Linked DNA regions of Caenorhabditis elegans. The protein of the gene in region 2 interacts with the protein of the main gene of each other region in a pairwise test. Each region holds a gene or a part of one and is shown on either strand. Other genes may lie near its edges.

Region 1 (7,833 bases), 3.5 Mb from region 2:
AATTTGCATTTTACTGTTGGTGTCCCTTGATGTGTCCCCCTATCGCCCAAAATCCCGTCGTTGTTACGTTACTATTCAGGCGGAACACACACAGTCACCAGAACCATCATATTTTATTTGTTTCTTTTTTCTTTTCCTTTTCTATTTGAAACCATCAACTTGGGATTTCCCATCTCACGTCTCAATGTTGCAGAATCTTTAGTAAAAGTCGAAACACAAATATATGATTTATTGGCAGGTTATTATCAGTTTGTGCCAATTTATTATCGAAGAACAGTTTGATTAAATCAAGTAAAGTCAGAAAGTCTATTCAACTTTTATTAAGAATTTTAAATATTTTCTATAATCTCCAAGAGTTCGACTCATATTAATGTGTATTCTTTACATTATAACTTTTAAAATTCAATTTTTTTCGCTTAAAAGTTCAAAAATCTGAAAAGAACAATCGGACAATCGTTGTGGTCGTCATAGAGCTGAAATGATCTACGAATAGTTCAAAGTACTGTATAATCTAGTAGCCATATACATTTTCATAATCCTCTCCGTATTTCTTTTCACCAATCCGCTCCGTCATTTTGCATTTTTAACAAGTTTCGGTTATTCCATATTTTCATTTACATAACTTACACGTTTATGTTTCTATTTCATGTTAATTCCATAGTATTCTGGATGGTTCCAAAATAGTTTTGAATTGTATATTGTTTGAATTGGTCCAACTCCGAGAATTACCAAAAGTTTAGAACATTTGAAGAAAACATAACAATGTTTGGTTATTGATAACATAAATTTTGTTGAATCTTCAAGCTTCATTTATTCATATTTTTCCAAATTTCAAAAAAGGATTTCTAAATTTAAAATGTCCACTAAACAATCCTTAATCTCTTGGCAGCTCCTCTTCTTCACACGTGGTTTTTTTCAGTTATCAGAACAATAATCGGTGGTGTGCCAGCTTGCTGAATTGGCTTGGCAAACTTTTTTTGCGTCCTTCTCCGCCACCGTCACTCGTTATCATCAATCACAAATTTTTGGCTGCTGCCACGTTAGACTCTGATTTGTAAGGGGGACATGAACTATTATCAGAAGCTAATTCTTAAATTCTAAAATGAAAATATTAATTTAGAAAAACGAGAAATAGATAATAAATGGAAACCTACTCTCGTTTCTTTCTCCAATAAATCAAATAAAAATAAGAAAAGTGCGACTGGTTGAGTCGTTACCTAACTTTATCAATATTTGATTAGAACTTAACAATGTTTTTGAAATGATCCACTTGGACGTACAAGAGGTAGTACACATTAAACTGACCGTTCGATTTTTTTTCTTAACTTTAATTCACTTAGAGAAAGGTAAAAGGAATCCATATATAAATTACGGGATGTAAATAATATTTTATTATTAAAGAAAGGTTTTAAAACAAACTATGTAGAATCTAGTCAAATAAGTAATTTTCTATTTCTGGAGATAATTTTATTTAAAATTGAATTTTCTTAATTACAGAGAAATTACGTTCAAAATCTCATTAAAAGATGTGATAACCCGACACCTCAATACATTGACCGTTTAATTTCTTTCCGTTTTCATATATATTTTCATCTAAACACATTCATATATTTATATATACAAATGAAACCTAAACCCGTTTAATAATCCGCCTGACCGTCTATCCATCCTGTCCGTCCGTCTATCCTCCTGTCCACCTTCCGACCACAATTACCGTCCCTTTTTCTTTCATTTTCACCGTTTATTTTTCTGAAATCCGTTGCTTTAATATGTATACATTTATATATACTTTTTTCCAGCAACAACAAATAGAAGAACACGAATTTTAATTTCAATTAATTCAAAATTTTTCCCATATCGACGCTGCCGTTTGCAGCACCATCTGTTAAAATGGAACAACTTGATGTCGAAGATTGGGAGTATTGGGGTGATGAATATCTTGAAGAAGAACCAACTTATGCAATAAGACCTGGTACAAGAGTTGTGAAAGTTGAAAGGTTAGTAAATCGATTATTATAACTTTTCTGTGCATTTGAACTTGCATCATAACCCTAACTTTTTTGAGAATTAATATCAAATTATTAAGATTTATTTGCTCAATTGATCAGTTGGAGATCATTTCATAGTTTTTTCTTTAATTTTTTGAACTTGTGAGATAAATAATTTTCAAAAAATTTTGTTTACCGAAGCCGCCAAAAAATTTTATCTCAAATATATAGCTCTAGTGGCTCTTTGATAAAAACATTGAAAATTGAAAAGAAAAGATTTACTTGAAACCCCATTTAATGCTAAATCTAAATTTATTCAAAGTCAATGTGATACAAAATCCCTTCAGGCCTTAAACTTTTACATCTATTCTGATATCAAAGCATTTGATAGTTTCAAAGAAATTACGACATTTTGGCAATCAATCGCTGATCTTCTGACGTTTTCAGATCAATTGACAATGATTTAAATGAACTTTTGAGCAATTATCTCAACTCATTAGAGCCATTAGATAGTTTTCAAGAAGCTGCAAGTACGTGTTCTATTTGCATTTTAATTCTAATTCCCTTTTGTATAGGACAGAGTCTCCCCTTTGTTATCTTATTCTTGCCCCGCCACGACGCAACAACCATTTTTGTGATAATAATTTGCAATTTTATCAATGGCACTACTACCTCTGATCACCACCATCTCACACATACTTTGTAAAAGCGCGTCGATCGTAAATACTACTGTCTTGCCACTTTAGTAGTAACCCTGCCACGTGGAAACTTTGAAATTTGGCGTGGAAATGAGTGAAGAGGCACGTGACAAGATGCGCGCGAAGAATGATCAAATTGCGATAAAAAGGGATAGGTGAATGATCTTTGTGATTTGAATGCTACTTGAGGAATGGTTTACATGGAAATTGAGAAAAAGTAAAATAAAAGGGTTCAAGGACGGTAATCGATCAATTTGAATGAATGAAGAAAGATATGATTGTGATTGATAAAAGGAATTTGCTACAAGAAACCGAGACGAACTGCATCGGTTCATATGAGTCAGATGTGTTCTTCGGTTGAAGAAGATCACTTAATTTAGTGAGAAGTTTCTTTTGAGATTCAATTTTGATTATATTCTTAGAAGTTTTCAGAAAGACAGTTTAGTATTCACTCCACAAGGTTAATAGCTAAAAGTATTCTCTACTCGATTCGAAAAATAATTTTTGCGGGTTTTTACTTTTAGTATAAAATATTTGAATTTGAAAAAATCTCTAGTTAGTAGTTTGTTCGTGTGCAAAGCTTAAACAGGATAATTAAAGTATTTTAAAATATAATCCAGCTTTGATTCTAGATCACAATTCAGCATCTACTTATAGATAAACTAGTATATGTTAACTTCCCCTATCCTATCCAATAACCTTTTCCTTATTCAGCTGTAAACAACAATTGATACAAGTTATCTTATCTCCAAATGCCTCCTCCAATTTTATGAGACCCGTAAAAAAATTCGATAGACAAAAAGCATTACGATTTTATTTATTTTGGTGACATTTTGGATCCTTGTAGTCAGAGGCTCTATCATTTGATCTTCTAATATATCTTTACAAAAAGGCAATACATCCAATTAGCCCAATTAGTCTGCACGTCTTGATATAAATATGACATCATACATTTACTGATTCGAATCGTTGATTTTTAATTTAGAATTAAGGATAAACAGAAAGAAGATTTAAGTGTTTGATTGGAGAATATAGGCATCCTATGCTAAAAGCTATCTCTAATTTATTACTGACATCATCCGTTTCTCGTCTGTGTTTCATGTATCTTTATCACCTTTCCCTCCTCTAGTAGAATGACCTAGAAAGTGATTGGCAAGTCTGGCAAGCCTACAGGGGGACAAGGGTTATAAGATTGATAGGTAATAAATTCTTGTAAAATGAAGAAAAAAAATTCTGTGCGGATAAACGAAGCGGAAATCATCATTGTGTGCGTGCTTTGAGGAAAGGTTCGCGCCTGTTTACTTGCCTTGTTCGGAGGTCGAGATTTCGGACACGAACCACCTCATATTTTTCTCTCGTTTCTTTTCTTCGATTCTCTTTTTTCCATTACTATCTCTCTTCCTTTGGTTCTTATTTTCTCGACAGTCTCTTTTGGTCAGTATAGTTCCTAACTAGGAACTGTTCGAAATCTGGCATGATAATTCTTCAAAAACGCTTATGAAACTTCAAAAACTCGGACTATTTTACTGTGAAAGTATATACCTCCGTTCGTTTCAACAAAAAAAAAGTTAAGCTTTGAAACTATAGAAAAATTAATAATACATCTGCTGCCAGTTGATTTTAAATTGATTCAATCGAAAATAGCCAAGATATCAGGTGCCAAAGTTGAGCAAGATTAATTGAGAAAATAATGTTTTTGGGAGTGCATTTTTTCAAATATACAAGTAGTTTATCAACAAAAAATTATTTTGTACTGGTGTAATTGATTTAAAAAACAAGTAATTGATGTGAAAAACAAGCTTAAATACTGTTCTAAAATAAAGTTACAGGTGTTAAAATGTTTTAAACAAATTATTTACTATTTGTTCAAAACCTTAGTGACATCTAATCTTTATGTTTTCATTTTCTCTTCATCCTCTCAAGCGTCTTCTGTTTTGTATTCTTCTTCTTCTTTATTTCAAATCAGTGTCTCTTTCGCCTTGTTATCAGTAAATCGTCGTCGTCTTCTCCTCCTTCATCTCCTTTTATTTCAATGTCACTCCCACTTAATTTCCCCCATTTTGTAATATTATCATAGAGAGACACCGCCCCATAGGTATTCCCCCAAATACGTCAGTTTTTCCACGTGGAACTTTTTGGTCTTTTTGATGTGTGAACTTTGATAGTTTGCAACAAATTGAAATTATGAATTTTTTTTATCATCAATGGAATTGGTCACTGTTCCAATGATTTTTTAATTGGATTCTTAAATGCCTTTTGGCTAGAAAACTTTGCACATTTAGCTCCGATTAAGCAATGAATTTTTACAATAACAAAAAAGTGCCTATCGACTTTCAATTCCGCTTCCACACACAAAATTTTGCAATTTTGAAACTGAAAAAACCGTATCAAATATAATACTCTTTTGAAAGTTTAATCACTTGAAAAATGTAATTCCGTCTTCACCAAAAAACGTTGTATTTTCCAAGACACAAATTATTGTGGGAAGATCAAGAAATCAAAATTTCAAGGACACACTCTAGTTTTTAAATTTTATTATTTTTGTGTTTGAAACTAATTTTCCCGATCTTTTAACTTTAAAATTTCCAGAGTTCCAATGATGCGAGGAGATTTAAGGACAAGCGGTGCCACGTCATCAAGTGGTCCCGCCACGTCATATATCATCAGGCCCAGTGACAAGCAACCCACAGTTTCTAGTGGTGGATCACAGAATGGAGATTCAGTTTGTGCTGTTTGTGGTGACGGAATTGCAAAATTACATTATGGAGTACTTGCATGTTATGGATGTAAAGGATTCTTTAGAAGAACACTGACTGGAAAATATCGATATGCATGCAGATTCTCAAATAATTGTATTGTTGATAAATGTAAGTTTTTTAAAGAATAAATTCGAATATACTTGACTGAGTATCTTTATAATCAAGAAAATACCTGAAGTTTCGGTTTTCAGTCCAGCGAAATAGTTGCCGATACTGCAGATTTCAACGTTGTATTCAAGCAGGAATGGATCCAAAAGCAGTCAGGCCGGATAGGGATCAGACAGGAAAACAGAAAGTTCCAAGAATTAAGAAGAAGCAAATTGATGAGGAGCTTTTAAATCATATGGTATGTTTTGAAAATGTAGATACACTGAAAAAAAACTGGTGGCAAATTTAAAATTTCCAAAAATTTGACAATTCACAAAAACTTGACATAAAATTATGGAAAATCTCAAAATGATTTGAGTGTTTTTTGTGATGTTTTCTATTTGTTCTGGAATAATCGAGTGAAAAATGTTTATGCATATTCAAACAGTTAAAATTTAGTTTGTGTTGTTGATAAAATCCAGAATAACTTACACTATACATGAATGATGTATAAATTAATACTTGAAATTTTCAGATGCGGTTACAAGGAGATGATTGGTCACGAAAACTTCCTGTCGAGACTCGAATTTTATTAATGCAATTGATGAGTATTGAGGATAAAGTAGTAAAAGGAGATAATAATATGAGTGCACAAAACACTGCAAAAGATCCAAAAAGTATTTCATTACGGGAAATGTTTGAATCAAAACCTGCATTAGATGGTCGACGGATGGAAATTGGTTATGAACCATTTCGAATGGCAAGAACTGAAGAACTTGGAGTAATTGCTCATAGAAGAGCAATTGCAGCTGTTGATTGGGTTGATTCATTAACTGAAATTGCGGATGCAGTTGATACTGAAGATAAAGTTGCATTGGTTAAAAGTTGTTACTCGCCGTTAACTATTTTCAATTTCTCTGCGAGAACTGCTCAGAATACGAAGAATCCGGATATTTTGTGTCTTTGCAGTCATTCATTTGTTCCAAGAAGATTGCCTCCAGAGTTTAATGAGACAAAGTAAGTTGGAATTTTAATTTAATTCCAATTTTTATCAACGCAATAAAAATATATGAAAAATACTATTTAAAATTAAAGAAAATTAATTTGATTTATTCAGTCATCTCTCAAACTTCCTGATTGATCGAACGTTAAATGAATTGGTGGCTCCATTGAGAAAATTAAATCTGAAAGAAGAAGAAATTGTTCCATTAAAAGCAATTATTATTTTAAATCCAAATGCAAAAGGACTATCCGAGCATGCGAGGCACGCGATTTCTGAGTTGAGAGATAAAGTTCAAGATATGCTTTTCCAAATTGTCAAGGAGCTTCATCCAATCTATTCTGCAAGCAGCCGATTTGGAAACTTGTTGCTTCTTCTGCCAACAATTACTGTTAGTCGTCATTACTGTTGCATTCTCTATTTCAAAACATTTCAGACTCTTTCCGGATTGATGTCTGAAAACATGCATTTCTGTCAAGCTCTTGGAGGACGTGCAAGTGGAGATAACTTGTTAGCTGAAATGTTTGGAGATAGAACATTTGATGATCAACTTATCAGCAGCAGCATTAGCCCACCACTATTCGAGAATCCAGCTGAAATTTGTTTAGAGGTCAGTTCACTAAAAATGACTGAAAGATCAAACTTTATATCATTATCTTTTTCTTTTAATTGTCATTAAAACTATAAACTCATTAAAACTATAAAATTTCGGAGTTTCTCGGAGAATTGAAAGTTGAAATTTGCCAACTACCAACTGATAAATGGCAATGATAAGAGTGTGCAAAAATCTAATTTCTTGTTTGTTTGCAGAGTATCTCACCGCCAATGTCTGATCGAAGATTCGTGAGAAGGGTAGATGTGGCAACACAGACAAATGATGATTTGTTATCATCTGGACCATATCTTCCACATTCAAATTCATGTAGCTCCATGCTTAATGCTGGATACTCTCCTCCAATGGTGAGAGAAGTTTGAAAATATTTATGGAATTTGAGGGAAAATATGTTGAAACTTTCTTGGATAGTAAAGATTCTAAATTGAGGGAACTAGCTTCAATGCGTTTTACACAAACATATTCTTAAGAATATACAAGAAGTTTGAAAAACGTTCAAAAAAGCTCAGATAGAGGCTGTGACTATTATCGATTTTTCTTTTATACAAATCGGTACCTATTTTTGCTAACTCGCTCCAAGTCTCTTAACATTTTTTTCTTGGGAATTTCTATTTCTATTATTAACACCGTTTCAAGTTAAGACTAAAGTGGTCGAGCCCAAGAAACTCCTTCCATATGTGGGCTTTTT
Region 2 (4,641 bases):
TCTGTGTAGAGAGTGGTGATGCCGCCACCATATTGCTCATCAGCCTAAATGACACAACCAGTGCGTGTGCATTTGTGTGTATGAAGCTACTCTGAGATGAGAGCAATTCAATATCATATTCCCATTCTATTTGGTAGTCCTCCTGCGCGAAGACAACAGTAGTCGTGGGAAATCTATGAGAGAAAGGCGAGGATACTACCTACCTAATTATGTAGTCATAGTCATCGAATTGAATTACACAGCCATTGAAATGTGCCAAGTTGAAGTAGGAATTTAAATCAAGAATTCAATGTGGGAGTTTTGAGATTTTGGCGGAAAATATAGCAGAATAAAATCTACGTCAAGTAATTCTACAGATGGATGAAGAAAAAATTAGTGAAACTAAACTTTGATATTGACAACTATTTTATTCTCTGAATTCTATAAGTCTACACATTGTAGAAATTGAGGACGTAATCCGGCCCAATCTGAATGTTAAGAAATCAATCATTGATAGTGGGTGAGAGAGTCAGAAAGCAGTACAAAGCATATCGTGTATTCTAGTCTACTCGACTAATAGACCGTAGAAATTGGTACATTGAATTGATGGCTATATCTACGATATTTTTGTGGTAAAGGTTTTATGGTGAAACTGCTCAAAATAACGAAAATTGGAAGAAAAAACTAAGAAAGAATGATATAAAGAAGCAACATGTGGTGTCGACCACATGGAATCCGAATTGCAGGTGTGACATACACACATACTTAGAGAACAAAACGAGAGAAAAGGAGCCGATAGATAGATGGACAGATCCCTCTGAAGATGAGTCCATGAGCAAACCCAGAGTGGACGGGACAACGAAGACGGGACAACGAAATTGACGGATCAATTTTGAGGATGATTTATGAAATGGGTGGCCGTGGCTGCAGAAAGAGCTCTGAAGTGCACGGAAGGAGGCATTACTATTGTCTGGGACGCCAGGTCGATTCGAATCGAACAAAGATACGATATGAAGACAAAAACTAGGGAGTGAAGAAAGTATTAGCATTCTTGGGTTGGTAGAAGAAACAATTAAACGTCGAGGACGAGAAGGACGGAAGTCAAGGTGCGGAAAGTAGGAAAAAAGGATCATGAAATAGTATCGGAAAGAATGAAAAAGTAGTAGGAATTGAATGTTGACAAGAGATTCCTTCCACTGTTTATAACATTGTGAGTCATTATTGTCACAGGAATTGGGCCTATCCCACTATCACACGAATTTGATCGAAAAGGAGATAAGATTTGGAGAAAAATAGAACATCGAATTCATGATTCTGAAAGCGTTTTCACATCACATGGTTTTCTGAGTGATTTTTTTTTGTCGTTTTGAAATTATTTGCATAAGAAACTACAGTGGTGAATTTCATGTTTCGTTAAATTCAAAACATATAAACAAAATATTTGTTATCTTGGAAAATTCATACTTTATTCAAGTAGGGCCTTCTACAATTCTAACTAACCTTGGAAATCATACTGATCGTCGACACCAATCGATGCACATAGTGGTAGTCGAATACTCATGTTCGCATGACGTTTAGATCAAAACGAACACCAGTGTGGGAAAATAAGATGGGAAGAGACAGAAGACTAAATGACTTTCGTTCTCTAAGAGATTCTCTCGAGAGAAGACAGAGAGACAACTGCCTTCTCATGGCTCCCGGGTGGGGCGATGATGATCCGTTTCCATCGCATGCCCTTTCATCTTCTGCGTCTTCGTCTTTCTTTTCTAAGTTCCATAGAGAAGAAGAATGATTCCAAAACAACTTTACACACTTACGACACAGGTATAAGGGGAGAACAAGGTTGGCGGCGGCAGTGGCTTCGAATTATTCACTACTCCCCCCGTACTGATGCCCTATCACATTTCTATTATTCCGCAAGTTCCCCTCTAGTATAACTATTCATTACTTTGGTTCAAGTGACAAGTGACTTCCCGCAGTTTCCAACACACAATCGCAATAAATTGTCAATGCGTTGATGTCGCCCGACGATGGCGATGGGGTGCGAAATGAAAATGTTTCTTTTCTTTTTTCCCGCACCGCCCGTGTGTTCTTTCTCTCTCTGACTGTGTACCGACTTCTTTCCGCTGATGATTGTTTAGATAATAGGGTGAAAAGGCGCGAAAAATGGATGAAAATGATAGTGTTCTATACTTAAAATCGCAATTAAAATGTTTGATTATGATGAACAACACTAGGAACATTGAACAAGTTTTTTCCTCACAATGTGGCACGTAATATATGTTTATATCTCTACTTACCCCCAATTCGTGATGGGATCAACATAAACTAGTTGGAGAGGGTGTGAGCGGAAAGAAAAAACAACGAAATGAATTCAATGTAAACTTGGAGGGAAGATCAAGATGACAAATACTTTTAATAAACTTTGAAGCTTAATATATCGAACTATTTTTTAGTTTTTCAGTTTTGATACTCAAACGCGAAATTTTGCGCCAAAAATATGGCTCCCGGTCTCGACACGATAAATTTTGGTTGAATTTTCGAAAAAGTGTGCTTTAAAAACTACTGTATTCTCAAACTCAAATAAAATCCATAAATTTTTAACAAATTGTTAGAAAAACTTAGAGAATTAATTAAATTTCCTCTTCGTATTTTTCAAAAAAAAATTGTCGTGTTGAGACCCGTTACCGTATTTTGGCTCGAAAATCACAAAGTTTTGTGTCTGGGTAATACGGAAGGTTTTTTAATTTTTTTTGTTGCAAAATTCTCGAAGTTACCAAAAGAAAAGATTACGATTCCAACATTTCAAAAAATCTCACCTTTAGCAGCACACTCCAAATCGTGTACAATCGCCTTTTCTTGTTTGTGCTGTGAATGTTTTCTCACGTCCTGTGAGCATCTTCTGTCTGCTGATGTTGATGAAGTTAACGTCATCGAAGTTTCCTCGTGCTGGCCACCGGCCCCACCTTCAGACGAAGACGTCGTCATGTTTGGGGTCGGCACGGGTGAAGCAAGTGGTTTGGGTGAAATTCTGGAAAAGAAAATTATAAATTGAATGAATGATATCGGGTTGAAGGGGAAAGTATGGAAGAAACACGGATTGTTTGAAAAAAACAAAGGATAGGCAAGGAGAAAAGGAGGACAATTTATAGAATTTGTTTGATTGATTTATAAGAGTTGAGTGGCTAGAGTTAGTTTGAGAAAGCACAAAAAAAGAGATGGGCAAGCAAAAAGCGCAAGGAGCGGGACGAAAAAAGTAACTAGCTTGGCAGATGGTAAAGCCCGCGTTTGCCCCCTTACTGCTACTTCACATAAATCAACGTGTGGCTGGCGAAAAATAGAAAAAAAAAGTGAACAAGGGTTTGGTGGACGTAGCTTTCAGAAAAACAGTGGAAAGAAACACCGAGGACGGCATGTAACAATACGGTTTCAGGACAAGAGGAACGACAGAAAAATAATAGGAATTGCAAAAAGAGAATAGACATCAACATAAAGTGAAGCAGATGGACTGAATTAAGCATATGTATTTGATTTCGTTTTTGCTAAAGTCATCGTCTTTTTTTTTTGAAAACAAAGCCACTAGGGCGCAAACAATTAATATTTTACATACATATTTGAGGGGCTCCCGTAGATGCATAGTTACCTGAAATAATTTTTTAACAAAAAAGTATAAATATGAATTGATATTTATAACAAGCTTAAAAATATCAAGTTAGAAGTAAACCGACATTCGTTGCTCTTCTTTTCTTCAAGAAAAGTAATTCCTCAATAGAAGATTAACTATGGATTAAATATTGACCCTTTCAATAGAAACGAATCTATTTTCGAGAAGAAGAAGAAGAAAACATAAATGGAACGGACAAATGTTTATTCATCCGAGATTATGTAAAAGTATTACTATGAGGCAACAGGAGAGGGGAAGACCAGGACAATGTTATCTTTATTGTCCATCAACATCATATTCCTCTTCCACGACAACATTCAATCGGCACCTAACATATACCTGATGAATGAGAAATGAAGAAAAACATCCCAAATAACGGATATTGGTTTTGGAGCTGACTGGCAAAAGGATGCCATCAATCTTGACTCGGTCTCTAAAGCCTTTCGGCTATTCCAAAAAATTCATGCTTTTTTTTGGAAGACGAAGCAGGAAAGGAACGATTGAAAGTGAAAAACGCCTTGGGCTTCTTGAAAAAGAGAGGAAAACTTTTATTTTAGTTTTCTCTTTCCGACAAACAAGGGCGCTGCCGGACACTGCCGGACACAAGAGACAAGAATAACTTTTTTCTGACAACATAAAGAAATGAATAGCGCACTGGGAATATTTTTTATATAAAAATTTTAGAATTAATAAGCTCAGAATGGATTATATAGTCTCATGAGTACATAAATATTTAAAATTAAAGAAAGTGTATTCCAATGAAGAAGGAATAAGAATGTTATGTAATGATGACGTTCATCGGTCTCATTGTCTCGTCCACTTGGGAAGAACAAGGTTCCAATTGGCACCTTCTCGTAGTGGCCGTCGTAATATCCCTACACTAATCCTCCTTACACGGCTAATGTACTCTTATGGGAAACGAAAAGAACATGAAAAATGCGAGATAGGCAATACAGTACAGTCTATATATTTATTTGCATTTTGCAATACCATATAGA

Evidence for each region. Proteins that work in one complex are often made in the same cells at the same time.
Region 1: the proteins of srgp-1 (region 2) and nhr-31 interact in a two-hybrid assay, tested with the Caenorhabditis elegans proteins (one large-scale study listed by BioGRID).

Annotation. Positions count from the first base shown.
Region 1 is NC_003282.8:8,023,480-8,031,312, reverse strand, and holds the start of nhr-31 (Nuclear hormone receptor family member nhr-31), read left to right. Parts: upstream 1-1,799; 5' UTR 1,800-1,890; coding exon 1,891-1,997; intron 1,998-2,655; exon of another isoform or gene 2,656-2,802; intron 2,803-5,275; coding exon 5,276-5,553; intron 5,554-5,636; coding exon 5,637-5,791; intron 5,792-6,067; coding exon 6,068-6,549; intron 6,550-6,649; coding exon 6,650-6,923; intron 6,924-6,968; coding exon 6,969-7,142; intron 7,143-7,342; coding exon 7,343-7,492; intron 7,493-7,833. UniProt on the Caenorhabditis elegans protein: Orphan nuclear receptor.
Region 2 is NC_003282.8:11,568,869-11,573,509, reverse strand, and holds the start of srgp-1 (Rho-GAP domain-containing protein), read right to left. Parts: upstream 3,011-4,641; 5' UTR 2,968-3,010; coding exon 2,799-2,967; intron 1,844-2,798; exon of another isoform or gene 1,541-1,843; coding exon of another isoform or gene 1,480-1,540; intron 983-1,479; exon of another isoform or gene 774-982; intron 1-773.